Linked DNA regions of Pelodiscus sinensis. The protein of the gene in region 4 interacts with the protein of the main gene of each other region in a pairwise test. Links are inferred from orthologs where the notes say so. Each region holds a gene or a part of one and is shown on either strand. Other genes may lie near its edges. The genes, in order: PPP1R37, EAF1, PSMF1 and BEND7.

Region 1 (7,900 bases), on a different chromosome or scaffold from region 4:
GCCCCCGGGTGCCCGGCAGCCCCAAAAGGTTGGGGTCCACTGATCTGTCTGATTTCATTCACAGGCCTTAATGTGCTAGGCTCTGTGCGCACAGAACGTGCAACAGACAGCCCCCGCCCGGAAGAGCTCACTATCTATCCAGATGAGGGAGGGAGACTGAGGCAAGGGGAGGGGAAAGGTTTTGCCAAATTCACAGTCCAGTGAGTGGCAGGGCAGGGAACACACCCCAGGGCTGCAGTCCAGAGCTCTACCCACTAGGCTGTGCTGCTTCTCAACCCAAAGGGAGGAAAGGAAGACAAACCTAGGGGGCACTGACGTCACATGGGTTACGCACAGTTGGCCCCGCTCGTGCTTCTCAAGATGGAACGAGATGGGGGTTGGGGTTGGCTCCTGATGACTGGAGCTGAGGCTGGGCCTCCCTCCCCGGATGAGTGGAGAACGGTGGGAGCAAAGCGAGGGGAACAGCCGTACTGGCGGCCATGTCCCAGCCCTATGGTGCGCAGGGCTGCCCAGTGTGGGGAGGGATCGGCAGCACTGATGGGGCAGCTGCCTGTTCTGTGATTTGCTGCGGAGCAGCCTCCAACGTGGGGCTGGGAACCCAGTGCCCCTGTGCCTCAGGGCTGGACGGGCCCCGTACATGGGCGCAAACCCCGGTGGGTTGGCAGCTGGTGACCACGCTGGCCCTTTATGACAGTGGAGGCTCAGCGGTGACAGGTTTAGCTGCGGTCCCAGGTGAAAGGAAAGAGGGATACAGGGAGCATGCGACTAGGCGTGTGGCCTGTTGGGAGACACAAGGGCCGCCTGGGAGCAGCATTCAGCAAAGAGCGATTCCAGGAACAGTAGTATAGGGCTGTCACGTCACGTCACTTTATGACAGGCTAAGTGCAAACCTGGGTTGTGCTGAGCATATAGGAAGAGACGCTGGGGAGGAAAGACAAAACAGGCTGCACAGTAGGGTACATAACCCCATTCTTTAGGTAAATAACCCCATTTTTTAGGGCCGTAGTACCGGAAACCCCCAGAAGAGGGTGGCTTTTAATACTCCTTCCCTCTTTTGCAACTCCCTGTATTGAATTTACAAGGAGGAAAGTGTGAGAGAAGGGATGTGATTTAACTCCTGTGTCAGACCAAGTCTGTCCCCTAGGTGTGGGAATTGTGGGTACTGATGGGGGTGCTGCAGCTCCCCCAGTTTTTGTGCAGGGTCCTGGCCACCAGGCTGTGCTCAGAGTCCCTGGTGCACCTGGGAGCCTGGCTGCAGGACTCTCCTTCCTGGAGCACTGTTCCCAGCCCCACATGTGGACCCTGGCTGCAACTGGACTTGCACCCACAGCTCTGTTCACAGCTCCTGGACTCTGTCTGTGGGGTCCTGGCTGCTCCTGGCCCTGCACTGAGGCTCTGTTCCTGGCCTCGCACATATGGCCCAAGACATGGTCCCTTTACCCCTCTGCATCCCCCACCCCCCAAGAGCTACAGGCCTGCTCCTGGCCCCAACTCTGGGAGGTGGAGGACACAGACAGGAGTAAGGGGGTGGGGTGAGGTAAAAAGTCTGGGGTGGGCCCCACTGGCTTTCAGGAGACCCGCTATAAAAATGTTCCAGTTTGTCCCACAATGCACACGCCCACGTTAAGGCCTGCAAAATCGAATGCTGAAGGCAGCTCCAGTTGGCGCCGGTGCTCCGCACAGTCTGGAGGAGGAAGGGACGCCGACGGGAGCATCTGGTCCCATTGGCTTCCCACTGTGAAAAAGAAGCCAAGCTCGGATTAAGGTACGCCGACTCCAGCCACGTATTTTATGTAGCTGAAGTCGCGTACCTGCAGCTGACCTTCTGGCTCCAGTGTAGACCTGGCCTGAGTCCTGCAATGCCGTGGGGCCAGGGTTCACTGGCTCTGGATGGTGCTTGTCATGGCAGCTTGCTTTCTCTTTAGCAGAATGAAGTTGTGATTTGAGGCCAAAAACGTGCTGGGTCTAGCCGGATCCTTGTGCCAAACGTATATTTTCCATCTGCTGCTCTAGAAGCCTGTTTTTTTTTTTTCTGGTCAGCTGGATTAGAAAGTTTATTTTCTTTATTGATGGTTTATTGATTGATGGCTTGTGACCAAGAATGGGTAAGATCCAGCTGGCTGTGTAGGTGCTAAATAGGTGGTTTTCTGTGGGGTGCATTGAGATCTGCATTTTTCAAATTGCAAAATACCAAGTGTGAGCAGGATCTGAAGGAATGTGTCCCTTATAGCTAGTTGGAATGGGAGAGAAACCCTGGGTGTGTTTATTACGTAAACACCGCTTGCTCCTGCTTTGCTTAGATTTGCTAGTCAGCAGATGGAGTGGTATTGCGCTCATTGTAATCCACGTCATTTGTAGCCCAACACCCATTGGCTACGTCTAGACTGGCATGATTTTCCGCAAATGCTTTTAACGGAAAAGTTTTCCGTTAAAAACATTTGTGGAAAAGAGCATCTAGATCGGCACGGATGCTTTTCTGCAAAAAAACCCCGATTGCCATTTTCGCGATCGGGGCTTTTTTGCGCAAAGCAAATCTGAGCTGTCAAAAGCTTTGCACAAAAGGACTTTTGCCCGAACGGGAGCAGCATAGTATTTCCGCAAGAAGCACTGATTTCAGACAGTAGGAAGTCAGTGTTCTTGTGGAAATTCAAGCGGCCAGTGTAGATAGCTGGCAAGTTTAGTCTTGCTAGTCTAAACACAGCCATTATGTTTTCCAGGTATCATAAGGGTGTCATAAGGAGGAGGGAGAAAACTTGTTCATCTTGGCCTCTGAGGATAGAACAAGAAGCAATGGGCTTAAACTGCAGGAAGGGAGGTTTAGATTGGACATTAGGAAAAAGTTCCTACCTGTCAGGGTGGTCAAACACTGGAATAAATTGCCCAGGGAGGATGTGGAATCTCCATCTCTGGAGATATTGAAGAGTAGGTTAGATAAATGTCTATCAAGGATGGTCTAGACAGTGCTGGGTCCTGCCATGAGGGCAGGGGACTGGACTCAATGACCTTTCGAGGTCCCTTCCAGTCCTAGTATTCTATGATTCTATGTTTATACGAAATGCAGGGGGAGCTGAAATATGGTTACTGATGTTTTTAGTTTTGGAGGACTCCAGAAAAGCAGGGCTGTGCTAAATTGTTCCACATGAAAGAGCTCACAGCAGAAAGATTCTTGCAAATGTAGGGGCTTGAGTGTCAGAGCTCTGAGGGTAAGAGAAGGTTATCCTGGTCAGGAGGTGATGTGGTTTCCCCTGCCTGGACTGGTTTGACCTAATTCCTCCCACTGTTCAAAGAGCAGAGCTAAATAGACATCAGTAGGTGCCTCTTTTCTTATATTAATTGTGTTGGAGTTTAAAGACTAAGGGGGTAGCCTTGTCCTGACTGCTCATTATATAGAGGGTTTTTTTTAGGCTCTAAGACCTCGTTTCTCAAACTGTGGGTCACGAGCAACTTAGAGGAGGGTCCAGTATCAGAAAGTTTGAGAACCTCTGCTCTAAAGTTACGTCTACACAGCAGCATTATTTTGGAATAACATCCGTTATCCCGAAATAACTATGTGAGCGTCTACACAGCTAACCTGTTCTTTCAAAAAAAAAATTCGAAATAATGGGCAGCTTATTTTGGCCTTTGTAAACCTCATTTCATGAGGAATAACGCCTGTTTCGAAACAGCTATTTTGTTCCACTGCTACTATTTCAAAATAGCTCCTCCCCAAGGCATTCAAAATAATTACTCCCCATGTACAGATTGACATACACTGGCCACACACACAGAGGCTATACACAATAGAAATGTAAAGTGGACACACACAGCAGCAGAGACACACACACTGGCCACACACAGCAGAGATGCACACAACACACACGGATACACACACAGGCTGTACACACCAGACACACACACACTGGCTACACACAACACACATGGATACACCCACCCACACCAGAGACGCACACAACACACATGGATATACACCCACCCACACCAGAGATGCACACCACACACATGGATACACACACCCACACCAGAGACACACACCACACACATGGATACACACACCCACACCAGAGACACACACAACACACATGGATATACACACCCACACCACAGACACACACTGGCTACACACAATACACATGGATACACACACCACACCCACACCAGAGATGCACACCACACACATGGATACACACACCACACCCACACCAGAGATGCACACCACACACATGGATACACACCCACACCCACACACTGGCTACACACCACACACATGGATACACACCCACACACCCACACACCGGCTACACACAACACACATGGATACACACACCCACACCAGAGATGCACACAACACACATGGATACACACACCCACACCAGACACACACACACTGGCTACACACAACACACATGGACACACACACCCACACCAGACACACACACACTGGCTACACACAACACACATGGATACACACACCCACACCAGACACACACACACTGGCTACACACAACACACATGGACACCCACACCCACACCAGAGATGCACACAACACACATGGATACACACACCCACACCAGAGATGCACACAACACACATGGATACACACACCCACACCAGACACACACACACTGGCTACACACAACACACATGGACACACACAGACACACACACACTAGCTACACACAGCACACATGGACACACACTCACACAGGTTGCACACACCAGACACGCGCAGCAGGGACGCGCACGCGCACATGGACACGCCCCCCACTTAGGGACGCCGGGGCGGGGCCTCGTGACATGTGGCGGGTCCCAGGGCGACGCAGCCTGCGCTCGGCCCCGCCCCCGCCGCGGACTTAAAGGGCCAGCAGCCCGGCGGGGGCGGGCCAGGCTGTTTGGGGCGCATCACGTGAAGCTGACTATTTGTCCGCGGCCTCTTTCATTAGTAGCAGCAGATTCGCGCCTTGTTTTCGAGCCCCAGCGCGCGTCCGGCGCCTAGGGAGTAGGCAGCCGCCTCAGGGGGGCGCATCCTCAGCTTCCCCTCCCCCCCCGGAACGCGCCCCCAGTGCCGCGCCGAAAGTGCCGCGCCGAAGCCTCAGCCGCCTTCGCCCGGTGCTGGCGGGCTGGCCGCCGCCGGGTGCGTGCGACGACTCGCAGCGGCTGATTCGCTACGGAGACGACCCTTTACCGGAGCGTCCCGCGGCGGCCGGCCGGCCCTGCCCGCGAGGCCAGGCGGCGGGATCTTCCCCTCCTCGGTGCCGCGGCGGCGGGCGGGGCCCCGCGCCGGGCGGGCGGCCGCCGCCCGTGGCGAAAGTGCGGGCCGCGGATGGGCAGGCCGCTGGCGCACTCCGCGGGCGGCGGCTTCTCTCGGGTCCGCCGCGCCAGACCGCGGCTGCGCTCGGCGGCGGTTCCCCGGCGCGCGGCCTCCCCTCGCGGCCCAGCCCTCAGCCGGGCCTGCGCGGGCGGGGCGGGGGCGCCCGCGGAGTGATGCCGCCCGGGCCCCCATGAGGCGGGGAGCCATGGAGCGCGCGCCGCGCCCCCCCCGGCAGCCGGACGCGGAGCCCTGCGCGGGCGCGGAGGAGGCGGGGGGCGGCCGAGCGGGGCTGCAGCCCCCGGGGGGGGCGGGCTTGGCTCGCCTGGAGGAGGCCGGGCGCCCCCCCCCGCCGCCGCCCAGCTCGCAGGCGGCGGGGGGAGGGGCCGCCCCTGCCGCCCGGGGGGGCTCGGAGCGGGGAGCGGAGCCGTCGGAGCGGGGAGAGACTCTGGCCGGGAGCCACCCGCTGCAGGAAGCCGCCTCGTGCCCGCCTGCGGAGCGGAGCAGCGCGGCCGCCGACAGAGGATGCCCGGAGGAGGAGGAGGAGGAGACCTCCCTGCCGCAGGGGAAGCCGGCCTCGCCGCCGTCCCGCCGCGGTGCTTTGGACTCCGACGCCCCCAGCCCGCAGGGCGACCCGCGCGTGGAGCCGCCGTGTGAAGAGGGCAAGCTGAAGAATGGAGCAAAGCGGGTCACGTTCCCTTCCGACGAGGACATCGTGTCTGGGTCTGTGGAACCGAAGGATCCCTGGCGACATGGTAAACTTTGCAATTCACTCGCGCTCTTCTTCTCAGGCTGGTTTGTGCAAATGGTATATTGCCTGAATCGTCCTTAAAACACAACACAGAGACAAGCACCTTAAACAAAATACAGGGCTATGTAGCACTTTATGTAGCACTTTGAAGACTAACAAGATGGTTTATTAACCATCTTGTTAGTCTTCAATTCACTCGCGCTCTTCTTCTCAGGCTGGTTTGTGCAAATGGTATATTGCCCGAATCGTCCTTAAAACACAACACAGAGACAAGCACCTTAAACAAAATACAGGGCTATGTAGCACTTTATGTAGCACTTTGAAGACTAACAAGATGGTTTATTAACCATCTTGTTAGTCTTCAATTCACTCGCGCTCTTCTTCTCAGGCTGGTTTGTGCAAATGGTATATTGCCCGAATCGTCCTTAAAACACAACACAGAGACAAGCACCTTAAACAAAATACAGGACTATGTAGCACTTTATGTAGCACTTTGAAGACTAACAAGATGGTTAATAAACCATCTTGTTAGTTTTTAAAGTGCTACATAGTCCTGTATTTTGTTTCAGCTACACCAGACTAACACGGCTACATTTCTATCACTAAGCACCTTAAAGACTAACAAAACACGTCGATGAGATCGTGAGCTGTCCTGGGTGCAACCCACTTCTTCAGATGACCGGAGAAAGAAGTGGGTTATGCCCATGACCGCTCATGATACCAACATGTTTTGTTAGTCTTTAAGGTGCTACTAGTCTACTTGTTGTTTTTTTAAGTTTTTCCTGTTACAGACTAACTTGGCTACCCCTCTGAAGCTTCTGAATAGTCCTGTTAACTTCAGTGAGGATCTGTCCGCGTGTTAAAGGGAATTGTTCCCAAATGAAGCAGAACACTAAATTGCTTATGTTTGTGGTATAACAGGAAACTCGGAGATGACTTTTCTATAAAATGTTTAAATATGCTTTAAACAGAACTAAGCAGTTTGTTTCAGATTTATACAGCTGTACTACCCATTTGGTCCTTTGAGTGTACACAGGATCTTTATAAAAATTAGTCAATAGTTAAGAGGAGTTTTGACTAACATTAAAGACTAACAGATTTATTTGGCCATAAGTTTTCGTGGGCAAAGACCTACTTTGACTTTGTGGTTCTTTACCCATGAAAACTTATGTCCAAATAAATCAGTTAGTCTTTAAGGTGCCACAGGACTCGTTGTTTTTGCAGATAAAGACTAACAAGGCTACCCAATCAATAATTAGAATCCAGTGACAAGAACTGAAAGCTAAACTGATATTTATTAAAACTTAAAATACAATGATGGTCCTGTAGCACCTTAGAGACTAACAAAATATATGAGTAGTGTCCGGAGCTTTTGTGGGCACAGCTCACGTCTTCAGATCCATATTTGTTGTCTGAAGAGGTGTGTTGTGCCCACGAAAGCTCATGATAATATTTATATATTATTATTAGTCTCTAAGGTGCTGCAGGACCTTTGTTGTTGAAGTTTTTTTTAATTTCAGGCCAACATGGCTACTCCTCTGTGATATTTATTAGTTATAATATGCCGGCCTTTTAATGTAAATGGCCATTCTGCACTGTTTTAAGCACTTTCCTGATCCAGGTGTCTGTAGGACTGAAGATTTGAAAAAATGTAACTTTGTCAGTAGCACAACTTTTTCACACTTTGTAGTTGTTGAAAATAATACCCTTGTTTAGCAGTCCTCATGTTGTTGTTGTTTTTTTTTCTTCTGATTTTTGCATGACTGACTTAGGAAACAAGCAAACTTGGTCTCCTGGAAATGTAAAGAAATAATGATCTCTCCACTTCGTAATGTTTTATCAT
Region 2 (7,273 bases), on a different chromosome or scaffold from region 4:
GGGGAAGCGGCAGGGCGGAGCAGAGCAGCTGGGGTGCTGCCTGGAGCTGAACAGGGGGGTGAGCGGTGGCGTTGCGGGATCAACCCGGCAGCACCCCAGCAGCTCTGCTCTGTCACTTGTCAGTTTCAGCAGCGGCAGTGGCAGACTTGGGGAAGGGGCCATGGATCCTGGTCACGTGCCACCTAAGACACTGCATATATGCTAAGAAGCATATAAAACTGTCCAAGTACTATAGAACCTCACAGCCAAGAGATGATGAAAATGAGTTTTTGGATGTTATAAAGGAGAGAAGAATTTTGGTCTATAAGATCTTACAGTGGTATGCCGGAAGGAGGGAAAATCAGTATAACTGATCCCAGGTTAAATTTTCAGGTCCAGTGGTCACAAAAAATATTCTAGTTTAGAAAGTGCATAATCTGATCTGAAGCTATTTCAGACTATGACTACATTCTAAATACTTCAAAAGCTGTAGTTTCTCCTGAAGATATGATCCACTGTCTTCATCCTTTCAGATATTGTCCTTTAAAGTGACTTATAAGCAAGTGAGAATGATACAACCCCAATGTATTTTTAGCTGTATACTTCTAGGACTTCTATCACTAGAAGAGCCTAATTTTGCTCATTTGAGGTAATGGTGGGTATATTTTTGAATCTTTGAATTACAAATCTTTCTCTATATATAAAAAAGATTTTCCTGCTGGATGACAGAATGCTCCTGCTGGGTGACAAAATGACATAATCAGCGTCAACAAGCTCTCTAAGCAAAGCAAAAGTAGCCAGAGAGAGGGGGGTAGGAGAGCGCAGCGAGCAGAGGGTGTAGCCCCCTAGTAAAAACTTGTTTCAAATATGTTATTGCTAGATAAGGCTATCTGCCATTTACAGAGGCTCCCAGGCTCCAGCTCCCACCAGTTAAACATAAATGATAAAACATTCACATCCCTAATAGTAAGAGGCAAAAAAGAGCAAAAGTAGACTATTTTCCCCAACAGAGAAGCTTGAAGCACTCTGAGAAAATAGAATCATAGGATATTAGGACTGGAAGGGACCTCAAGAGGTCATCGACTCCAGTCTTCTGCCCTCATGACAGTACCCAGTACTATAGACCATCCCTGAAAGACATTTATCTAACCTACTCTTAAATATCTCCAGAGATGGAGATTCCACAACCTCCCTAGGCAATTTATTCCAGCGTTTAACCACCATTACAGTTAGGAACTTTTCCTAATGTCCAACCTAAACCTTGCTTGCTGCAGTTTAAGCCCATTACTTCTTGTTCTATCCTCAGAGGCCAGGAAGAACAATTTTTCTCCCTCCTCCTTGTGAAACCTTGTCAAACCGCTATCATGTCCCCTCTCAATCTTCTCTTTTACAAACTAAACAAGCTCAGTTCTTTCAGTCTTCCTTCATAGGTCATGTTCTCTAGGCCTTTAATCATTCTTGTTGCTCTTCTCTGGACCTTCTCCAATTTCTCCACATCTGTCTTGAAATGTGGTGTCCAGAACTGGATACAATATTCCAACTGAGGCCTAATCAGTGCAGAGTAGAGCAGAAGAATGACTTCTCCTGTCTTGCTCACAACCCACTTGTTAATGCATCCTAGAATCATGTTTGCTTTTTTTGCAACATCACACTGTTGACTCATATTTAGTTTGTGGTCCACTATAACCCCTACATCACTTTCTGCAGTACTCCTTCCTAGGCAGTCGCTTCCCATTCTGTATGTGTGAAACTGATTGTTCCTTCCTAAGTGGAGCACTTTGCATTTGTCCTTATTAAACTTCATCCCTGTTTACCTCAGACCATTTCCCCAATTTGTCCAGATCATTTTGAATTATGACCCTAACCTCCAAAGCAGTTGCAACCCCTCCCAGCTTTGTGGTATCTGCAAACTTAGCTATCAAACTTGGTATCATCTGAAAACTTTCAAAACTCATCTTCCAGACTGGCTAAATATTACTCATCCAGAGATAGAGGCTTCCTCCTGGAGGGAATAGGGGACAACATGTTGTGCTCTTTACATTGTATTGAAGGATTCTGATAGACATTTCAATAAATCTTAAGAAACTGGGTGGCTGTGGTTTCCCTCTTTCAGACTCTCTCAGGTGAAACCATAGTCCTGCATCTTTCACAGTATAATATTTAAACTGATACATCATCTGATCTGACATTCACTAAGAAGCTCGCTGCCCTCTGTGCGCATGCGCTCTCCCCTTCCCATAATTTTGAGTTACTTTCAGATTAACCTCACTTTATTCCCCCCCTCCCTCTAAATTTGTAACGGAAAGTTGCTGCTTTCCACAGAACTGGCAAGAACCTAGGAAAGGGGAGCAGAGAGAGTGGAGGGGGAGCTGGTAAGGGGTGTGCGCAAGAGTTGGGGTGGTGGCAGGGGAAACTGGAGAGTGAGGGGCTAGGGCTCAGAGAGGATTTAGGGGAGCTGGGTAGGTTAAGGAGGAAGATACATGGGGGGGGGTAAGGAATGTAAGCAACTAGTTGACTACCGAAAAAGCCTAGGCTTATATCAGAGGCACCAAGGGATGGGGGGGGGGGGGTAGCAGGAGCCGTGCTGGGGGCAGCAAACCTAAAAGCCGTTCCCCCAGCACCGTCTCCGCGGAGGGGCAGAGGCAGGCGAGGGTGAAGGTGGGAGCAGGGATGGACGCAGCGCCCACGCCACAGGGTCCCCGCTGCGCCTCTTCCTTCCAATCGGGCAAGAGCCGCCGGGGGAGGGCGGCGCCCCCTGAGCGACTAGCCCAGTCCCGATGGAAATTCCATCGACTACTCGATTAGCGGATTAATCGAACGTGACACTGGGGGGGGGGGGTGCGGGGGCGGGGCGAGTCCCGGGGCGGGGCGGGGTGCCCGCGAGGGGGGGGGCGCTCACAGCGGATGGTGTGGAACGAGGCCTTGGGCCGCCGCTCGAAGCTCTCGCCCAGCTGCAGCGCGTGCTCCTCCTTGTCCAGCAGCGGGTTCGCCGAGCCGTTCATGCCCCCGCCACGCCGGATCCCCCGCCCGCCCCGCTCCGCTCCCTTCCGGGGCCGCGTGTCACCGCCAAAGCCGTCCGGCCCGGCCTACGCCCCGCCCCGCCCCGCGCGGGTAGGAACCGGGAGAGGGGGCGGAGTTTGGGGCAAGACTCGGTGTCCGCGCTAGGAGAGCGGGAGGGGCTGTTTGGGGAGGCGGGGGGGGTCTCGTACAGGGAGGGGCTGTCTGGGGGGGCGGGCGAGGGGGGGTCTGTACAGGGAGGGGCTGTTTGGGGGGGGCGGACGAGGGGGGTCTGTACAGGGAGGGGCTGTTTGGGGAGGCGGGGGGGGGTCTCGTACAGGGAGGGGCTGTCTGGGGGGGCGGGCGAGGGGGGGTCTGTACAGGGAGGGGCTGTTTGGGGAGGCGGGCGGGGGGGTCTCTGGTACAGGGAGGGGCTGTCTGGGGAGGCGGGGGGGGTCTCGTACAGGGAGGGGCTGTTTGGGGGGGCGGACGAGGGGGGTCTGTACAGGGAGGGGCTGTTTGGGGGGGCGGGCGAGGGGGGGTCTGTACAGGGAGGGGCTGTTTGGGGAGGCGGGCGGGGGGGTCTCTGTACAGGGAGGGGCTGTTTGGGGGGGCGGGCGAGGGGGGTCTCTGGTACAGGGAGGGGCTGTTTGGGGAGGCGGGCGGGGGGGTCTCTGTACAGGGAGGGGCTGTTTGGGGAGGCGGGCGGGGGGGTCTCTGTACAGGGAGGGGCTGTTTGGGGGGGCGGGCGAGGGGGGTCTCTGGTACAGGGAGGGGCTGTTTGGGGAGGCGGGCGGGGGGTCTCTGTACAGGGAGGGGCTGTTTGGGGAGGCGGGCGGGGGGGGTCTCTGTACAGGGAGGGGCTGTTTGGGGGGGCGGGCGAGGGGGGTCTCTGGTACAGGGAGGGGCTGTTTGGGGAGGCGGGCGGGGGGGTCTCTGTACAGGGAGGGGCTGTTTGGGGAGGCGGGCGGGGGGGTCTCTGTACAGGGAGGGGCTGTTTGGGGAGGCGGGCGGGGGGGTCTCTGTACAGGGAGGGGCTGTTTGGGGAGGCGGGCGGGGGGGTCTCTGGTACAGGGTGGGTTTGGGGAAGGAAGTGGGGGACGGCTGCCTGGGGGGAGAGGTTGGGGAGGAGTCTCTGGTACAGGAACTGCAAACTATAATTCTTTTCTCATTGTTTCTTATGTTTCCAGGTTGTCTGATCTGAAATGAAAGATGGCAATAAATACATGAGGGGGGAAAAAACCACTTTAAATCTGTTGTGTTTGTATTCCTGTGGATTAATCCAGGATGTCCCAAGAAAATACATCTGATAATTATGTGAATTCAGTATCTCCAATTTGTGAAGATGATGCTTTCCAAAAGAAAGGGCATAGTGCAAGGACCCTTAGCTCTGAAGAAGCTGAGAAACTGGCAAGAGAGCAAGTTTTGGTGTCTGACTTCAAAAAACTGAAACTAGAGAAGGAGGCACAGAAGAACTGGGATCTGTTTTACAAAAGAAACAGCACAAACTTCTTTAAAGATCGGCATTGGACAACTAGGGAGTTTGAAGATTTAAAAGCATGTCGGGAGGTGAGCCATATACACTAATTCTACAAATAAAGGAACAAATACTACTAATGAAGTAGACATACCCCAAGTGCACAATGTTGTGGAGTTGATAGCTTCCATGACTTTTAAGATATAAAAAAATTGAAGAGTTTTTTGATTGGTCCTTTCATCCTGTTTTCCCCTCCCTGTCTCCAAGAGGAGGCACCGTCAAGACCCAACTGAAAGTTTCAAAAGTTAAAAAAACCAAAACCTATTACAAAATCTTTGAATAATATATTATAATTGATCTGTATTTTACATTCAGACCCACTCTCTAGACCAGTGGATCCCAAACGTTTCCTATTGTGCCTCCCCTTACCAGTAATCGAATTTGTCCACACTCTCTCTCTACCCCACATTACTGCATCATTGACTCAGCAGAGGAGCTTGGGTGGAAGGCAAAATTGGGGGCAGCATTGGAAAGGGGAAAGGACCTTGAGGCTACAGCCAGACATGGTTTAGGATTGGAGAGGGAATCGGACAGAGCTGGGCCAGGAGTGGGAGTGGAGCTTGGACCACGGGTATGGCTGTGGGGGAAGCCAGGAGCAGCAGCTGTGGCTAGGAATGGAGGCTGGGGCAGAGTTTGGAGACTGACCCATCCTTACCTATACTTAGAATACACAGATGTGTAGAGTACCTGAAAATTTGGGTCACCACTGGTTCTTAATGTCTACCCACTGCCTCCTCCTATTCCTCTTCTGTGGCTCTACTTCTTCCATAGAGGATATAGTTCACTTAAAAGTGAAAAAGCATGTCAGACCTACTAGCAGCACATTGAACCTGTGAAAGAGCCATTCAGATAATAATGAAGCCATTAAATAGGCATTTGCCAACCCCAGGTATATACTAGAGATGTAAAATCCCACTTAATCAGTTAAACATTAGGTTAGCCTAACATTTAATTGGTTATTTGACTAAAGTGAGATCAGGGCTGGGGACCACTGCAGCCTGGCTGGCGCAGCCCCCAGCCTACAGGGCTCCCACTCCCAGCATCATACTGGGTCTGGATCTGCCAGCTCACTACCCCTGCACATGGGCTGGGGCTGATGCTGACACCCAGCCCTCACAGAGCAGCTCTGCTTGTGGGATGCCCGAGCTCCTCAGAGGCTACTCTGGACAACCCCTGCCTGTGGGGCGCCTGGCTCCCCCATGGACAGAGGCTTCTGCGGATGCTGGAACAGTCCCTGCCTGTGGGGTGCCTGGGCTCCCCATGAACAGGGACTGCTCCCCGACTGTGTCCACGATGGGCCCCCGGTGGGGTTGGAGCAGCTCCCTGCCCACAACAGATGGGGAGCTACTCCTGCCCCCCAATTTAGGGTGATGCTTCCCAGTTAACTGGTTAAACTTCCACATCCCTAGTATGTACTGTCAGGTTCTGAATGTACTGTGTGAGTCTATAGAACGACTACTCAACACACAGCCCATGGCCTGTATGTTTGCGGCCTGCAGTGCAGTTTTGGTTTACGCGGGGCTCAACACGTGGCCTGCAGGTGGGAATCTTTGAACATGACCTCCACTGGGAACACGCTCCACAATGGCAAGGCGTCTGCCAGGTGGGGTGAGCATTGAAAGATGCAAGCGGACGGGCTGGCGTTTCTAGCCCCCAGGGAGGAGGTGCCGGGAGTCCTGGGGAATGTGGGAAGTGCTTTGTATTCATGCCAACCCGTGTGAAAGAAGCAATTTGCATGTATAAGCAACGACACTTAAGTTGCGGCCCTCGGCATGTGCTGTATTATTGTGGCCTCTGAGGCTTCCAAAGTTGAGTAGCCCTGGTCTACAGGATCTTGGTTTAAAATTTTCTATAAAAATATGTTAGTGTGCTGCTGAAGATTTTAAAACCATGTGTCTAAAGAAATCTCCCTCCCCAAATGCTGTTGGGCATAGAGACACCAGTTTAATAGTACTGTATAGGGCCCCATAAATCCTAAGTATGGCCCTGGTTGGAGAGGAGCTGGGGAGCTGAGTAAGGCAGTGTGATGCTCTCTCCTCAACTCACCTGGGACCTGCCATATGTTGCTCTGCAATCTTTATGGAGTTGAACGCCACAGTTTGGGAACCACTGCTCTAGAACACTTGCTTAGTGTCCTAAATTAGATCTAAGATCCTCTCTCTCTCTCTCTCTCTCTCTCTCTTTTCCAACACAAGTTGCTCAAAATTTTGCACCCTGTTACAAAGTTGACTATCTAGAATAGTCAAAGCATTAAAATATACATTTAAAAAAATCATATTCAAATGCATTTGTTCACCCTTTTTACAAAAGGGCCAGGGCATAGAGGAAAGCATACAGGAGACCCTCGTGATTCGCGGAATTGCTCTCTGGGGTTCCGCATATTCATGGGGTCTCCATTCCTGACCTGAAGGGGATGGTGTGATCAAGAGCTGTGGGGAACTCGCTGAGGTGCCGGGAGCCATGGTGAGTTTCCTGTTAGGGAGCCACGGGGAGCTTCCCCCAGGAGCCAGGGTCCATAGCTCCCAGTATTTGCAAATTTCGCCATTTGTATATACCACGAATGGTGAGGGTTTCTGCTAATTTGATCACTGCTGAAATGAGTAGATCAATAATGAGTTTTTAGTAGTTTCTAAAGAGAAACTTACTGTGATCTAAATGAAAGCCTATACTTTGCTGTGCCCTTTGCGAGTGACAGGTTCCATCAGATTTTAGACGGATAATTGAAATGCTGATCCTAACTTTAAAGTGTGAAAAGTGGTA
Region 3 (6,868 bases), on a different chromosome or scaffold from region 4:
TGGAGCTCAGGGGGGAGTGGGAGGTGGAGGTCCTGGGTGCAGGCTCTGGGAGAAAGTTTGGGGGCTGGCGAGGGGAAGAGGGTGCAGGCTCTGGAGGGAGTGGGGTACACAAGTGGGGGAGTGGATAGGGGTGCCCCTCTCTGGTAATGGTTCCTGGAGGAGTGGAGGTTAACTGGGTGCTGCTGCCCCCGTGGTAGCGTGTTCTCCCCCATCCCTCCTGCCACCCTGCCGGCTCCTCCCAGGTATCCCCCAGACTGCCTGCTATCCCTGGGCAAGTTAAAACACTGAAAGGTGGGGACCGGCAGCTCAGTGTGGCTACAGCGGCTTCCGGCTGCTTATTCCCACAGCTGCCCACACGTGCATCCCTGCAGCTGGGGGGCTGTGCACCCTAACCCCGCTGCACTGCCAGTACTGGTGACGCGCCCCCCCCCCCCAAGCATTGTAAATCGCCCAGGGGTAGCAGGTGGGACTGGGTTAGGGTTAGGGAGATGCAGGGCCAGGCGGCAAGGTTTGCTGGAGCCCAGCAATGTTCTCTCTAATTTTTCCATCTGTGTGCAGAATAAACTTTGTCATGTGCACCGCCAATATAAACACTTGCTGCTGACTGTGGGCGCTCTGCTTATCAGCGCGGCACCATTTGAATCTCTCCTGGGTGGCTGCCCAAGTGCTCGGCTTACAGGGAACACTGGGACGCAGCTCCAGGCCAAGAATATTCCTGGTGCGAGGGCACCACAGGGTCATATCACTTCCCCTATGTCCAGGAGAGTGGTGCACCCCTGAGTTATTCATGCAGGAGGTGGCCCCAAATCTGATAGAAGGGTCTCCCTGACTTTCCCCTTCTGTTGTCCCCAAGTCAATCTGGGAATTCTCCGTCAGAGCCGGAGAAACTTTATCCAGCATCAAAGCACAGGCTCCCCAAAGATGCTTTTAAAGGCTGTTTTTAGTCTGAGGAGCTGAGGGTAAAAAAAATCTGACATTTTAGTTTAATCACATTTGGCAATGGGGAAAACTCAGTTGTAGGCAAAAGAGGTGGAAAGTCAGGTTGCACTTGACTTCCTGGTGGGAAAACCTGAAACTTCCATTGTCTGTTGGTCAGGCTGATGTAGTTACTGTTTGACTTGTCAGGGGGGTTGAACTAATTCTGGCACCCAGATTTCGGTTTAATTGAGCCAGGTGGGCATGGGCCCTGATCCTGCAAACACTTCACTGAGCACTCTCAGAAATCTAGTGAAGCTTGTCATAAGTGTTGGCAGGATCTGGGCCTTTTTACGGAGTTTTCCAGTAGGGATGTACGTGACTAGTTGACTCCCTGATAAGCATGCACTTACTGGGTAGTCAAGTAGTGAATCAACTAGTCGCTCTTCCCTCCCACCCCATGCTGCCTCTATCAGAGAGAGACAGCGAGGCGGGGGGAGCAGGAGTCAGTGCTGGGGAGCCGAATTTTAAGCCGGCTCCCTCCAGCACCATCTCGGGGGCAGATGGGGCAGAGGAGGCAGAAGCGTAGCAGGGACTGGGTACGAGCCGGGAATCAGCTGGCTTGCGCCTGGTCCCTGCTGTGCCTATGCTTTTTAAACGTATTAAGAGCCTGGCAGCTCTTAATGAATTTTAAAAGGCAGAGCTGCAGTGGGGTTAGCTCCCAGGGCCGGCTCTGCAGTTTCCCCCATCAACGGAAATTCCATCAACTACTCAATTAGCTGATTACCCGCAATTGAACATCCCTAGTTTCCAGTTATGTTCAGTATGGATACTGGGGAGAATACCTAGTAACAGTCCCTATTAAAACTAACAAAACACCCCAAGGCTGTGTCTACACTGGCGCGATCTTGTGCCACAGCAGCCCCTCTTGTGCAAAAACTTGCTGCCTGTCTACACTGGCCGCGTGTTCTTGCGCAAGTAAACTGACGTTCTAATGGATGAAATCAGGGCTTCTTGCACCAGAACTCTGACACTCCCGCTCAGGAATAAGCCCTTTTGCGCAACTGTTCTTGCGCAAGAGGCCAGTGCAGACAGGCAACATGAATTTCTTGCGCAAGAAAGCCCTATGGTTAAAATGGCCACCGGAGCTTTCTTGTGCAAGAGAGCGTCTACACTGGCACGGATGCTCCTGTGCAAAAGCACAGGCTAGTGTAGACGCTCTCTTCTGGAAGAGTTCTTGCACAAGAAGCTGCCAGTGTAGATGTAGCTAGTATTCTTGCCAGGGAATGGATCAGAGGATTTCCTGCCAGGGGACAGAATTACAAAAGAGCACCTTTGATTCACCACGCTCTGATGCTAAGCTAACAGGAAGGAGTGATCCGGCGGATCAGGACATACGTTAGGGAGAACAGGTGGGTGAGGTAATATCTGTTATTGGCCCAGCTTCTGAGGCTGTGTACATGGGAGCAGGGGCGGGTTATTCCAGGAAGAAGTGACTATTTTACAATTGTCTTAGGCCCTACTGCTGCAAACACTTCTGGGGTGTTGCGAAATAAGTTCCCACATATGTGTGAGCAAGACCAGGGCCTTACTGCTCCAAGGTGCCACCCACATATCCCGCTTCATTGGATGGGACTTTCACAAGTAGTTGTGAACCTGCTGTTGCTGGCAAGCTGGGGTGGAGAGGTGGTTTAAGGGAGGGACAATGAAGCCCGTCCCCTCAGTCCCATTGGGAAGCTCTGGCTCCATTACAAACCCAGCTGATCTGAGCTTGGAGCAGCAGGCAGAGCCCTGGAATGCTACTGACCTCACATCAGTGCCTGTCCAGATGAACGCCTCTGAAATCAAGGCACGTGCTCGGGCGGAAAACTGACGGTGCGAGCAGAGAATCAGGTCCTCTTTGTATGAAGAGTAACGGGTACCCTGGTGAATGCAGCAGGACCTCCTCCTGGTGCAGAATCAGACCCTGCCTGGCCTGTTACTGACCTTTTCAGCAGCTCTCCCCCATGCCTGAAATGACCCGGTTCTGCCCTGCCCAGGGGAGGTGACGGGAACTCAGCAGATGCAGCTTCTGCTGCTTACCCCGAGGTTGCCGAGTGATGATGTTTGTAGAGTTCTGAGTTCCAGGTTCTGAGCTGTCCGGGGATGGAGAGTGGAGCTGTGCGTGCTGTTTTCTGCCGGGGCTCTCAGACTGGGGGTCACGAGGTTATTATGGGTTAGGTTGCAAGAAAGCCCTGCCAGCCTCCACCCCCAAGCCTTGCTTCTTTATCATTTCTAACGGCCATACCTAGGGGTCACACTCAGAGACTTGCCATGTGAAAGGGGCCACGGATACTGACATTTGAGAACCACGTACCTGACAAGGAGGCGGTTTGCTCCCGAGCAGTTCAGCCCAGAGGAACAGGAAGCCAGCTGTAGCGGAGTCCTGCCGTCTCGAAAGTCGTATTTATTCACTTCCAGCGCTGTGGGGCTACCACACTCCAGTCGGGGGGGAGAGGGCTGTCTACATAGCAATCAAAGGTGTGATTGGAGCATGGCTGGGCGAAGGGTGTTAAATGTTGGTTAATTGACTAGTCGATGAACCTCATTAATTCTTATTGGTTACTCGACTATTCTATAGGCCCTGGGGGCAGGGCTGGCAGCCAGTGCACGCCGGCCCCACTCCCGAGGAGCCCCCTCCACTCTGCAATGCTGCCTCTGGATCAGAGGGAGCAGCATGGGGTGCTAGGTGGGAGCAGTTTAAAATCCAGCTCCCCTCACAGACTGGCTACCTGTCACCCTGCGTGGCAGCAGTGCCCGCCTAGCTCCTAATACACTTTAAATGCAGACCCACAGCGGGGATAGGTCCCAGACCCAGCGTGATTCAAGACTGAGCCGGGCTGCTGGCCAGCCTGCTAAAAAATTAACTGGCAGGGGAGGGGGAGAGAAACGTGTGTAGTCTATACCAGTAACCTATAAGCTTTTGCTTATCGGTTAATCGACTGTGCTATTACATCCCTAGGCTGGGCAGGCTGGCACAACTAAGAGCAGGGAAGGCATGGCAGAATGGGTTTCAGAGCAGGCTGTACAAGTACAGCCAGGGGCCCCGGGTACGTGCTTGCATTGCAAGCCTGCGCCGGAACCTGTGCATCTGTGGATCTTCACTGCTGCTTTTAGCCATGCCTGCTGGATTAAAGCGAGTACCATCCCAGAGCTGCAATAATGCAGTGTAGATGCACCCTGGAATTCTCCTGGGAGCAGAAATAGTCTCCCATGTGAAGGAAATTCTGCAAAGGACCTTTCCTGACAAATCAAATCCCGCCTGAAATAAATCAAATGCCCCTATTCCACGGTGGGGCTCTGGAGAGGGGGACTGGGCAGGAAAGTGTCTCTCTCAGCATGTGCCCTCCAGTGTGTGTGAAATCACAGGCCAGCAGGAGGCTGGTGGAAATGCTGGCAAGAGGATGGTTGTGGTACATTGCTGTATTTGGAAGGAGACAACTTCTCTGCAGCAAGGAACGGCACTCTCTTGTGACCGGAGATCTAACACTGTCCTCAATTCATCTCCCCACCACCTGCAAACCCCAGGAAGCAGATCAGAGTGATTGGTTGGTCCCTGTGTCCAGGATAAAGGGCAGAGCTATAGCACCCAGAATTCCCAGGAAGTCTCCCATCCAAGTACTAACCAGGCCCGACCCTGCTTAGCTTCCAACATCACACAAGATCCGGCATGTTCAGGGTGGTACAGTCATGGGCTCACCAGGCCTGGTTCTGGACAGGCAATTGTTCCAGGAATTACAAATGCCCACTAGAGGGCCCTCTGTGTCTTCCAATAAGACACTGGGCCGAATGGGGCTGCACTTGCTAGACTGAATGTCTGACCCTGGAGGTGAGTCTCCGTTTCAAGGCTCAAGGAAACGTGTACCCCCAAGGAGAGGCATGCCTGGCTCCTCCACCAGGGTAACCCCCTGCCTGCCTCCGATGCAGAAAGGCAGGCGAGGGGGAGCCCCCGCTGCAGCCCCCGAACTTCCTCCCCCCTTGTCGAGGGAGAAGAGGCAGCAGGTTAGAGACACAGAAAGAGGGCCTTGCAAAGATCAGGTTTCCCAGCCTAAATGCTCCCAAGGTTTGGGGGCAGGAGGCAGGTTCAGTCCTATCCCTGTAGGGTCCAACTGCTTTGCCAGATCTGCTGCCTCCACTGTACTAGCCCCCCTCCCCACTCCTTCTCAGCTTGCTTTGCGCACAACTTTGCCAGCGCCCCGGCAGGCAGGCGCAACCCCAGTTTTGTAGTTGGGTAAACTGAGGCACAGACCTCAGGGGATTTGGTCCTGGTTGTGCAGTGTGTCAGAACCCAGACGTCCCGCCCAGGGGAGCGGGGACAGTCAGAGTGAAATAGGGATGAGGAGCAGGGCTGAGTGCTGGGCCAGCGGCTCCGTGGAAGGAGGTCGGCCTGCCTGCACGGAAGGCCCCATGCTGGGCCAGGAGAACTCAAAAGAAGGGTGTTGGTAGGAAGAGGTACAACAGACAGCTCTGAGGGGTCGGGGAAGGTGTCTCCTTCTGCCAGCAGGGGGCAGAAGACACCCGAATAAAACAAAACCCCCTACCAAAACAAGCGGCTCCATTGCATGGGCATCTCCCCCTGGGTCACGTGCCGTCAAGGTGCTGCGTGTGCTATGGGCCCGCACTTGGGTTCTGCCGTGAGGAGCGTGGGGAAAGAAACCAGACTGAGGTGAGCACTGGCTGCTTCGGCCCCCGCGCTAGGGCAGACAGGGAGAGACCAGGGCTGTGTCTACACTCGCGGCTTCTCGCGCCAGAAATATGCAAATGAGGCTAAGCGTGGAATATCGCCGAGCCTCATTGCGTACCTAACGAGCCGCCATTTTCGCAGAAGAGGCTCTTGCGCCAGAAGGAGCTGTCTACACGGCCCCTTCTTGCGCCACAAAACCCTCTTGCGATCACTTTTCAGGAAGAACGGCGTTGCGCAAGAGGGGTTTTGTGGCGCAAGAAGGGGCCGTGTAGACAGCTCCTTCTGGCGCAAGAGCCTCTTCTGCGAAAATGGCGGCTCGTTAGGTACGCAGACGAGGCTCGGCAATATTCCACGCTCAGCCTCATTTGCATATTTCTGGCGCAAGAAGCCGCGAGTGTGGCCATAGCCTAAGTGCCCTTTGGCTGGTTTTTTTGTCATTAGGATGTGGAATGTAGCTGGCAGCCACTGTGGATTTTTTAGTTTGCCCCCGACGCACGGTGACCCTCCCACCGGCAAGTATCCCCACCTAACAAGCCATTCTCATTGCAGGCCAGTCACTAGCGTGCGGGAAAACCCCTTCCGTGGTCCTAGGCTCCTCTTTTACCCCAGTGGCAGCCCCCGGGCGTGGGGAGAGTCAGGGGCCTCCCCTTACTCCAGGTTCCAGCCCAGGGCCCTAGGTAGCAGCCACTAGTGGGCTCCTGTCCTTATCCCCACAGAATAGCAGCCTCTCCCAGGGCCACTTCCCCGATAGCTCCCATAGCACCTTTTCCTGGCACCTTGGTGACGCCTCTCCTGCTTGTAGCCTTCAGTTCCCCTCCACGCTGCACCTCCCCCGTCTCCCGTCAGTCACCCTTCTCCTTCCCCCTCCTCCCCTGAGGGGAAGCCTTTTACAGTAATTACTCGTTTAACACGTGCCCACTTAACATGTTTTCACGATAGCGCGATTTTTTGAGGGGAACGTTTTTTGAATAACACGACCGTCCCTGAAATAACACCGTTTCCCCAGCCGGCCTGTCGCCGACAGCTGCGCAGGGCTTCCCCCGCCTCCCTGCAAAGCGGCGGAGGGTTCGCCGCTCGCCGCGCCATTCCCCGGCGACCCCCCCCTCGTCAGACGCACGGACGCAGTGTGGGTCCCGGAAGACCCGTCACAGCGGCATACTGTACTCCCAACCCAATCCTCCTTCCCTCTCCTCTCCGTCCCTTCCCCAGAGCCAAACCTCTCCCCTCCCT
Region 4 (7,576 bases):
GGTCCTTGACTGCTGTATCAGTTTCTGCATTTCAGTGGAAGAATACACAATTTTATATATACAGTAGTCTGAATTACTTCATTATGATGACAAACTGCTTTGAGATTCAGTGGGATGAAAGAAGATGTAGGGTGTACAGTATACAGTAAAAATGACAATAATTTACATAATATAAGTCAATACAGTGGGTGTCTCCTTTGGCCCCCTTCTTTTGTCTGCAATGTCCTAGTCCAAGGCTTTGAAATCACTATCAATATCTTCACAGTAAACATTAAACTCTGACAGTGAATGACTCAAGCAGGAAGCAAAAGCTGAGTAGCAGGGAAACACCTATTTATACTCAATGATCTTTGTAATCAATTTGCATAGGAAATGAGGAGGGACATACATAAAAGCTGAATCTTACTTTGCTAAAATACATTTTTTATCTTCTCTGTTCTCCCTGAATCAAAACACCACTTTTTCCAAAATTGCATTTAGTGTTGTTAGTGTTCTATAATTTAGAAGGGTTCTCAGACAAAAAACAGCTAACCCACAAGTGAAACACAAGCTAAATCACCAGTGAAAAATAGTTAAAAGTATTATTACAAAATTATTAATCTATGTTACAAATGACATGTCAAGACTAAATGCTTGTAAAATATTAATTTACTTTTGACTATTTGAGTTATTCTGCACATCTAACAGTTTTCTCAACTTGGAAATACAAACTAATCAGTTTCACTTTCAGATCCTCATACTCTAGCACAGTGGTTCCCAGCCTTTTCGAGCATACGGACCCCTTTTCAATCTGCTAAAATGTTATGGACCTCCAAGGGGAGTGGCATGAAGGGGCAACCAGCACATCCCTTGATCTGTGCTGCTTCATTCCCTGCCCATCCACAGAGGATACTGCAAGGGGGCTCTCAAGGCCAAAGGCAGCTCCTGCCCTGGCATTCTGCCCTTGGCCAGGCACAGAGCCCCGGGAGAGAAAAGGAAAAGAAAAGTAAGGTTTGGGGTCCATTGTGGGAACGAAGGGGGGGGGGAGAGTGTGTGCACGCCCCAGGTGAGGATCACTTGGCGTAAAGCTCCAGTCATGTGGTGGCCCAATCCTTACTTTTCCTTTCCTAAGTTTTCTGTGGACCCCCTAGAGTACTATCGCAGACCCCCAGGAGTCCATGGACCACACATTGAGAACCACTGTTCTAGTGCTTATACTATAAGCAGTGCAGAAGAATACTTGTTTCTCAAAAAGTTTCCTTTTGAACTTTAAATCCCAGATTAATTTCTTCTGACCTTATGTTTGCAAATACTTGCTTTTATAAAATCTACACTAATTTTTGGCCAATTTTGACCTGACAGTACAGTATTCCTCTAGATTAAGAAAGTATGTTATGTCCAATGCTCATAATGAATATTTTTCATTAGCTTCCCGAAAGTTATTTTCATGTTTAAATTCCTTTGCTTCCCATTTGTTTTCATCCAACAGTGACTGAAGAGGGATGCCTAAAAGTGCCCAAGTGTGACACATTAAAGAAAAAGTGTGTAACATTATGCCAGAGAAGTCACTTGCCTTGAACTTAGCATGCTGGACACACACAGCTTTTCATGGAGATATTTCAGTTCAATACTTTAAAACACGGAAGTCAAATCAATGAGAGGAAAAGATCTAATCAGTGGGAGTAGCAGTCCACATCCCCACCTAAATAAAACACTAAGGCTGTAAAGCTCACCTGTGAAAATGACCATCAACGATTTTTAGATCTAAACAGAAAGGTCTGTTTCCCCCCGACATAAATACAAGTCTTTACCATCCCTTTTAAATCACCCTATTCTTTTCGTAAAGCAAATACATAATGAGCGAACAAGTTGCATGACAGGAATTCTTCCTTATCTCTGTACAATTAATTGGCTGCGTTGCCTTTTTAAAAAAGAAAAACAACCTCTATTAGTGTTTTATTTGAAATACGTGTATGTGCGCAATCAACAGGGGAAAAAACCCTACAGGAGTTGAATACCGAAAGGGCTCTCTTCTCTGTTCCCCAAGTACCATTATTTTACTAATTTCCTGCTTCGTTTTTTTAACTCGGGGTTTACAAGGAAATTACGATCCAACTTTATTTTGGAGACCATCTGCCTTGAAAACCGTGCTGTCATTGGGGAGGGGGTTTAAAAACAAATCCAAGGAGTTAAATCATAAAGACAGAAAGACACTGAAGGAGACAGAGGGAAGGGAAAGCAGCATACATTTCATAACACCCTGCTCTTCTCCTTTGAAAGCCAGCTACGTTGAGCCGAAAGTCCTTTGGAGAGACAAATGAACAACAACAAAAAGTCACACACCACGCTACCCCCCACCGGCACCACTTTACCTTGGTTGATCAGTTTAAAGCTTTGGGATTTCCTGCTCCTCTTCCTCTCCGTAAACTCCATGGTGTGGGCAGGAGGGAGGAGGAGGAAGAAAGGAAGGAGAAAGGGGATGGCACAGAGCGAGTGGGAGGCTATACAGCCACCCAGCCGCAGGACCAAGGTCCGTCCCTTTAATCAGCAAAAATAAACCGGGGCTGGGAGATTTCAGTTCCAACTGCGGAGCGGGGATTTGGGACAAGTTGGCTCCGGGCTCCCTTCCCCCACCTCCCGGGGCCAACCCCAAACTTTGCGGGGGGCAGATCGCCAGGTGCCGGGGAAGCCCCGGCTGCGTGCGGGGAGCTCGCCGGCCGCCTCCCGGGAGCCGCCGCCACCACCGCCAAGGGAAGCAGCGCTCGGCGGCGGGCGTGTGGCGCTGCCTCAGCGGCGCCTGGGACCCCGCTGCCACCTGCTGGGGGAAGCTTGCGCGCACCACAGCGCGCCCCGTGGTGGCTGAGGGAGCCTGGCCCGCAGGCCGCCACCCCGAGGCCGGCCCGCAGCCCCACGCCACGCCGAGGCGGCGGCGGCGGCCGCGGGCCCCAAGGGAGGGGGGGAGGGGGAGCGGTTTCAGCCTCATGGTAGTGAACGGAGAGGGCGGCGAGGTGACTCTTCCCCCTCCGCTGCCGGCCGGGCGGGGCGGGGCAGGTCTCGGGGAGGGGGGGGGATCGGGATCTGACTCTCGGAGGGGGAAGGGAACGCAAGGGCGGCGCCATTTTGTGCACCCGTCCCCTGTGCGGTCCCCTGAGGCGCGCGGCGCGAGCTGGCGCCTGCCGCGGCCCCCTGGAGCCGCGGGCCGCCCCCCGGGCTGGGTGCTTGCCCCAGGCGCAGGGCGCCAGCCAGCGCCGCCGCCTGGCTCCAGAACTGGGTGTTAGTGAGGCAGACTGGTGGCATTGGGTCCCCCCCCCCCCAGGGCCGTGTTCCCCCAGCCTAGGGTGCGCTGCCTGCAGTGCGCCCACGGGGCACACCCCACCCTACTTCCTCAGGAGAGGGGAGGGAATCTAGGGCCTGCAGTGCTAAGGCAGAAGATGCAGGCTCTGTCCTCACGCAGCCTAGAATGAGGGTCAGGTGCTGCCTCCTGCCATGCCCCCAGCTCTGCTAAAAGGATTTGCCATCTTAAGTAAAGTTCAGGCTGTGGATCAAAGACAACCCCTTTCAGACCAGCAGAACACACCTAGGCTACGTCTAGCCTGGCATGATTTTCCACCAGTGCTTTTAACGGAAAAGCTTTCCGTTAAAAGCATTTGCGGAAAAGAGCGTCTAGATTGGCACGGATGCTTTTCCGCAAAAGCACTTTTTGCGGAAAAGTGTCTGTGCCAATCTAGACGCGCTTTTGCGCAAAAAAGCCCCGATCGCCATTTTCACGATCGGGGCTTTTTTACGCAAAACAAATCTGGGCTGTCTACACTGACCCTTTTGCGCAAAAGCTTTCGCCTGAACGGGAGCAGCATAGTATTTCCGCAAGGAGCACTGATTTCAGACAGTAGGAAATCAGTGCTCTTGCGGAAATTCAAGCAGCCAATGTAGACAGCTGGCAATGTAGCAGCTGCTTTTGTGGAGAAACTTGCCAGTCTAGACACAGCCCTAGAGCACTTGGACAGCCACCCAGTTGATTGGCAGAGTGCCCACAGCTGACCGCAGTCAGCAGCATGTGTTTCTGTTGGTGGTACACATCTGCATATGTCTTGGTGCACAGGACAAAATTTATTCCGCCATAGATGGGAAATCTTTACGGGAACATTGCTGGACACCAGGCTTCAATTAAAAGCAAGGAATGCTTCTGCTTGATTTTCATTTTTAGGCCTCATCTGCATACATATTTGTACCAGAACAACTATTTCGGTGAGGGCTGGGTTTTTAAACCAGAATAGTTATTATGCCTCCATCCTAATGGGGATACAACTATGCCAGTACTGGCTACCAGTGGATCCACACTGGAGGTTAAGTCACTTTAAGTGCATTTGGCCTGGTCTACGCTACGGGGTAGGTTAATGTAACCTGCCTTGCCTCAAATTAGCTGTGGAAGTGTTCGTCACTTAAATTTGGCTTCTACTGATGTAAATGTTTCTACACCCATTTAATAACAGCACCTCCCTGAGCAGTGCAGAGTCACGATGTAATTATATCAACAAATTGCTTATGATGACTATCACTGGCTTTCTGGAGCTGTCCGACAATGCCCCACACTGACAATACAATGGATACAAGCATTCCTGGTGAGAACATGCATCACTGATGCAAGAATCCACAGCTGTGTCTAGACTGGCAAGTTTTTCCGCAAAATCATGTGATTTTGCGGAAAAACTTGCCAGATGTCTACACTGGCTGCTTGAATTTCCGCAAGAACACTGACGACCTCATGTAAGATCATCAGTGTTCTTGCAGAAATACTATGCTGCTCCCGTTCGGGCAAAAGTCTTTTTCCAAAAGACTTTTGCGCAAAAGGGCCAGTGTAAACAGCACAGTAGTGTTTTCCGCAAAAAAGCCCTGATCGCGAAAATGGCTATTGGGGCTTTTTTGCGGAAAACCGCGTCTAGATTGGCCACGGATGCTTTTCCGCAAAAAGTGCTTTTGCGGAAAAGCATCCTGCCAATCTAGACGTGCTTTTCCGAAAATGCTCTTAATGGAAAACTTTTGCGTTAAAAGCATTTTCGGAAAATCATGCCAGTGTAGACGTAGCCCACGTGATTTAGTAACTGTAGTAGCTGTGTGGCAGCATCAATTAAATTGACATAATTTTGTAGTGTATCATGGTCTAAGGCTAAGTCTATCCTGACAACTGAACAACAAACTTTTTGTCATTCAGAGGTGTTAAATGACCCTCTTGTCCATGAAAGACAAGTTTTTCCAACAAGTGCCTGTGTGAACAGCACTTTGTCCTGCCAATAAAGTTAATGCTACTTGCTGGCTGTGGAAGCATTTTGTCAGCAAAAGAGCCAATAAACACTGGCTATACTGCCTGATTTTTAGTGACACAGCTGTAGTGACACAGCCATGTCGCTAAAAGCTGTGTACTGTAGTATTAAAGAGACAAGGTTGATGAGGTAGTATCTTTTATTGGATGAACCTCTGCTGGAGAAAGACAGGCTTTTGAGCTTACCTAGTTCTTCAGAAGAGAAGCTCTCCCTGGTTTACACACACACTGCATTCACAAGTGAATGCATGGGAAGTGGAGTGATCCAGCCCACTCCACTCATCTGGCTTCCACACATGTCCCTCCACTTCACACTGCGGATGAGTATGGGGAGCAGTTCCAACCCTTCCCTTCCCCTTCCCCTTCCCCAAGGGGGGAGCAGTATAGGCTGGTGGCAGGTTGCTCTACTTTCTACTGCTGCGGGGGGAGCAACCACTGCTGCTGGCATCATACCCCACCAGTGCTCCAGATTGCCTGGGCCCTGTAGGGTCTCCCAAGCGCAGGGCCTAGAGCGGTTGGACAAATCAGGATCTGCCTGCGGGCAGCTCGTCGCTTGCCTCCCAATGGCATTAAGGGGCATGTGACCCTTTGTCAGAGCTGTTCCCCACTCTGGCACTCCAAGTGCAGAAGGTGAGGGCCCTCGAGAGAGCTTAAAAACCTTGCCTCTACAGGCACTGGTTACCAAAACTTCCCAGAGTCACAGATTCCCTGGCTCTGAGAAGTAAACAAACTGCCACCATCAAGTTATTTTTTATCCCTAAAACTGGAGGTGAACACTTGAACCCACCCCCGGGGTACTCTAAGCTCCCAAAAGAGCTTGAAAAAAGAAAATAGAAAAATAAGCTGCAGTCTCTGGTAGCTGACCTCTCAGTCAGAGGCATGCAAATACACAGACAAACAGACCTTTCAGGACTCAAGAATCAAATTATCACCTTAAAAAAGTGATTTTTATTAGAAAACAAAAGATAGACTTGATAAGGCATACTTGATTGCTAGATGTTACAGAGCAAGTAAGGAAAACAAAACACAGAGAAAAGTTTCTGGGCACAATGCGAGATAGTAAATGTGGAGGGGAGGCATAGATTTACACAGAGCAGTTCAAACCAAACCACACAATAAAACTACCTTGATCACAACTAGACCAACTAAGGATATTAAAATGCGGTTAATTGACTAGTCAATGGAATGTCCATTGACTAGTTGATAGGCCTTCTTCATTCCTCCTTTGAAATGTACAAGAGTTCCAAGGAGGAATATGGAACACCACGTACAGCCCAGGGCTGGCGGGAAGTCCCGCTGACTCCGGGCCGCACACAGCTGTGCCTGCTTTGAAATGCACAACAGTCCCCAGCAGGGGCTCTTGTGCATTTCAAAGCCATGGAGTCCAGAGTCAGCAGGGGACTCAAAGTCCCCCGCTGACCCCAAGCTCCATGCTATGCTTCATGCTGCTAGGAGCCCGGGGTCAGCTATGGACTCCCTAGCTAACCCTGGGCTCCCCGTGGCACTTCCATGTGGAACCCAGAATCAGCTGGGGACTCCCCAGCTGATCCCAGGTTCCGGGGAAGTTCCGCGTGGAATCCGGGATCAACTGGGAGTCCCCAGCTGACCCCTGGGCTCCCCAGCTGCTCCTTTGAAAAGCACAGAAGTGGCATTTTAAAGGGGCAGCTGTCGCACAGCTGATCTGCAAATCATCTGTGCAGCGTCTGCGCCTTTGAAATGCCACCTTGGGGTTTCAAAGTAGTGGTGCCACTGTGCAGTGCTGCCACTTTGAAGTACCCCTTCTGTCCCCCCCTTTGCAATTGTCCCTTATTTTCTGTCTCTCCCCTCTCATCAGTGCTGGTAGGTCCTACTGCTTTTTGAATTCCTGCTAGCCAGCCAACCACAGGCCAGTGATAAGTGGTGGGGATCAAGTAGTTGATGATAGGGTGGATGTACAAGACTGGTGGTTGGGCAAAGCTGCAGCGTGCAAGGCTGGCCAGTCCCCACTGATGGTCCATCAGTGGAGTCTCTACTGTGTGCCAGCTCTGGGCCATCAGGCTCCCCTCTAACCCCCACTCATTTCCAGCCAGCACTGGCTGCTCACTGCAGTGGCCAATTACATGTCACCTCATTGACCCTTTATGTGCCTCCCCTCTCACTGTCCTCTGTGATGTGCACCATCATCTCCTCAGCCCTGATGCTCCTTCATATCCCCACCTAACTCCCATCGGGGTGCATCCCATCCCCAGCACTGTGTGGAGATCATTCAGCTCTGGTCAGATCATTCAGCCAAACAAGAGC

Evidence for each region.
Region 1: the proteins of BEND7 (region 4) and PPP1R37 interact in binary tests that used the Homo sapiens proteins (3 or more experiments, as listed by UniProt). The two-hybrid records come from large-scale screens. The link is inferred for Pelodiscus sinensis from reciprocal best matches to the Homo sapiens genes BEND7 and PPP1R37.
Region 2: the proteins of BEND7 (region 4) and EAF1 interact in binary tests that used the Homo sapiens proteins (3 or more experiments, as listed by UniProt). The two-hybrid records come from large-scale screens. The link is inferred for Pelodiscus sinensis from reciprocal best matches to the Homo sapiens genes BEND7 and EAF1.
Region 3: the proteins of BEND7 (region 4) and PSMF1 interact in a two-hybrid assay, tested with the Homo sapiens proteins (2 studies listed by BioGRID and IntAct). The two-hybrid records come from large-scale screens. The link is inferred for Pelodiscus sinensis from reciprocal best matches to the Homo sapiens genes BEND7 and PSMF1.

Annotation. Positions count from the first base shown.
Region 1 is NW_027465849.1:7,336,481-7,344,380, reverse strand, and holds the start of PPP1R37 (protein phosphatase 1 regulatory subunit 37), read left to right. Parts: upstream 1-4,885; 5' UTR 4,886-5,499; coding exon 5,500-6,061; intron 6,062-7,900. UniProt on the Homo sapiens protein: Inhibits phosphatase activity of protein phosphatase 1 (PP1) complexes.
Region 2 is NC_134712.1:181,744,154-181,751,426, reverse strand, and holds the start of EAF1 (ELL-associated factor 1), read right to left. Parts: upstream 3,013-7,273; 5' UTR 2,982-3,012; coding exon 2,879-2,981; intron 1-2,878. Other genes in the region: tRNA N(3)-cytidine methyltransferase METTL6, read left to right, coding at 4,264-4,545. UniProt on the Homo sapiens protein: Acts as a transcriptional transactivator of ELL and ELL2 elongation activities.
Region 3 is NC_134728.1:2,474,261-2,481,128, reverse strand, and holds the start of PSMF1 (proteasome inhibitor PI31 subunit), read right to left. Parts: upstream 3,008-6,868; 5' UTR 2,902-3,007; intron 2,864-2,901; exon of another isoform or gene 2,723-2,863; intron 1-2,722. UniProt on the Homo sapiens protein: Plays an important role in control of proteasome function. Inhibits the hydrolysis of protein and peptide substrates by the 20S proteasome. Also inhibits the activation of the proteasome by the proteasome regulatory proteins PA700 and PA28.
Region 4 is NC_134711.1:14,014,470-14,022,045, forward strand, and holds the start of BEND7 (BEN domain-containing protein 7), read right to left. Parts: upstream 3,013-7,576; 5' UTR 2,413-3,012; coding exon 2,352-2,412; intron 1-2,351.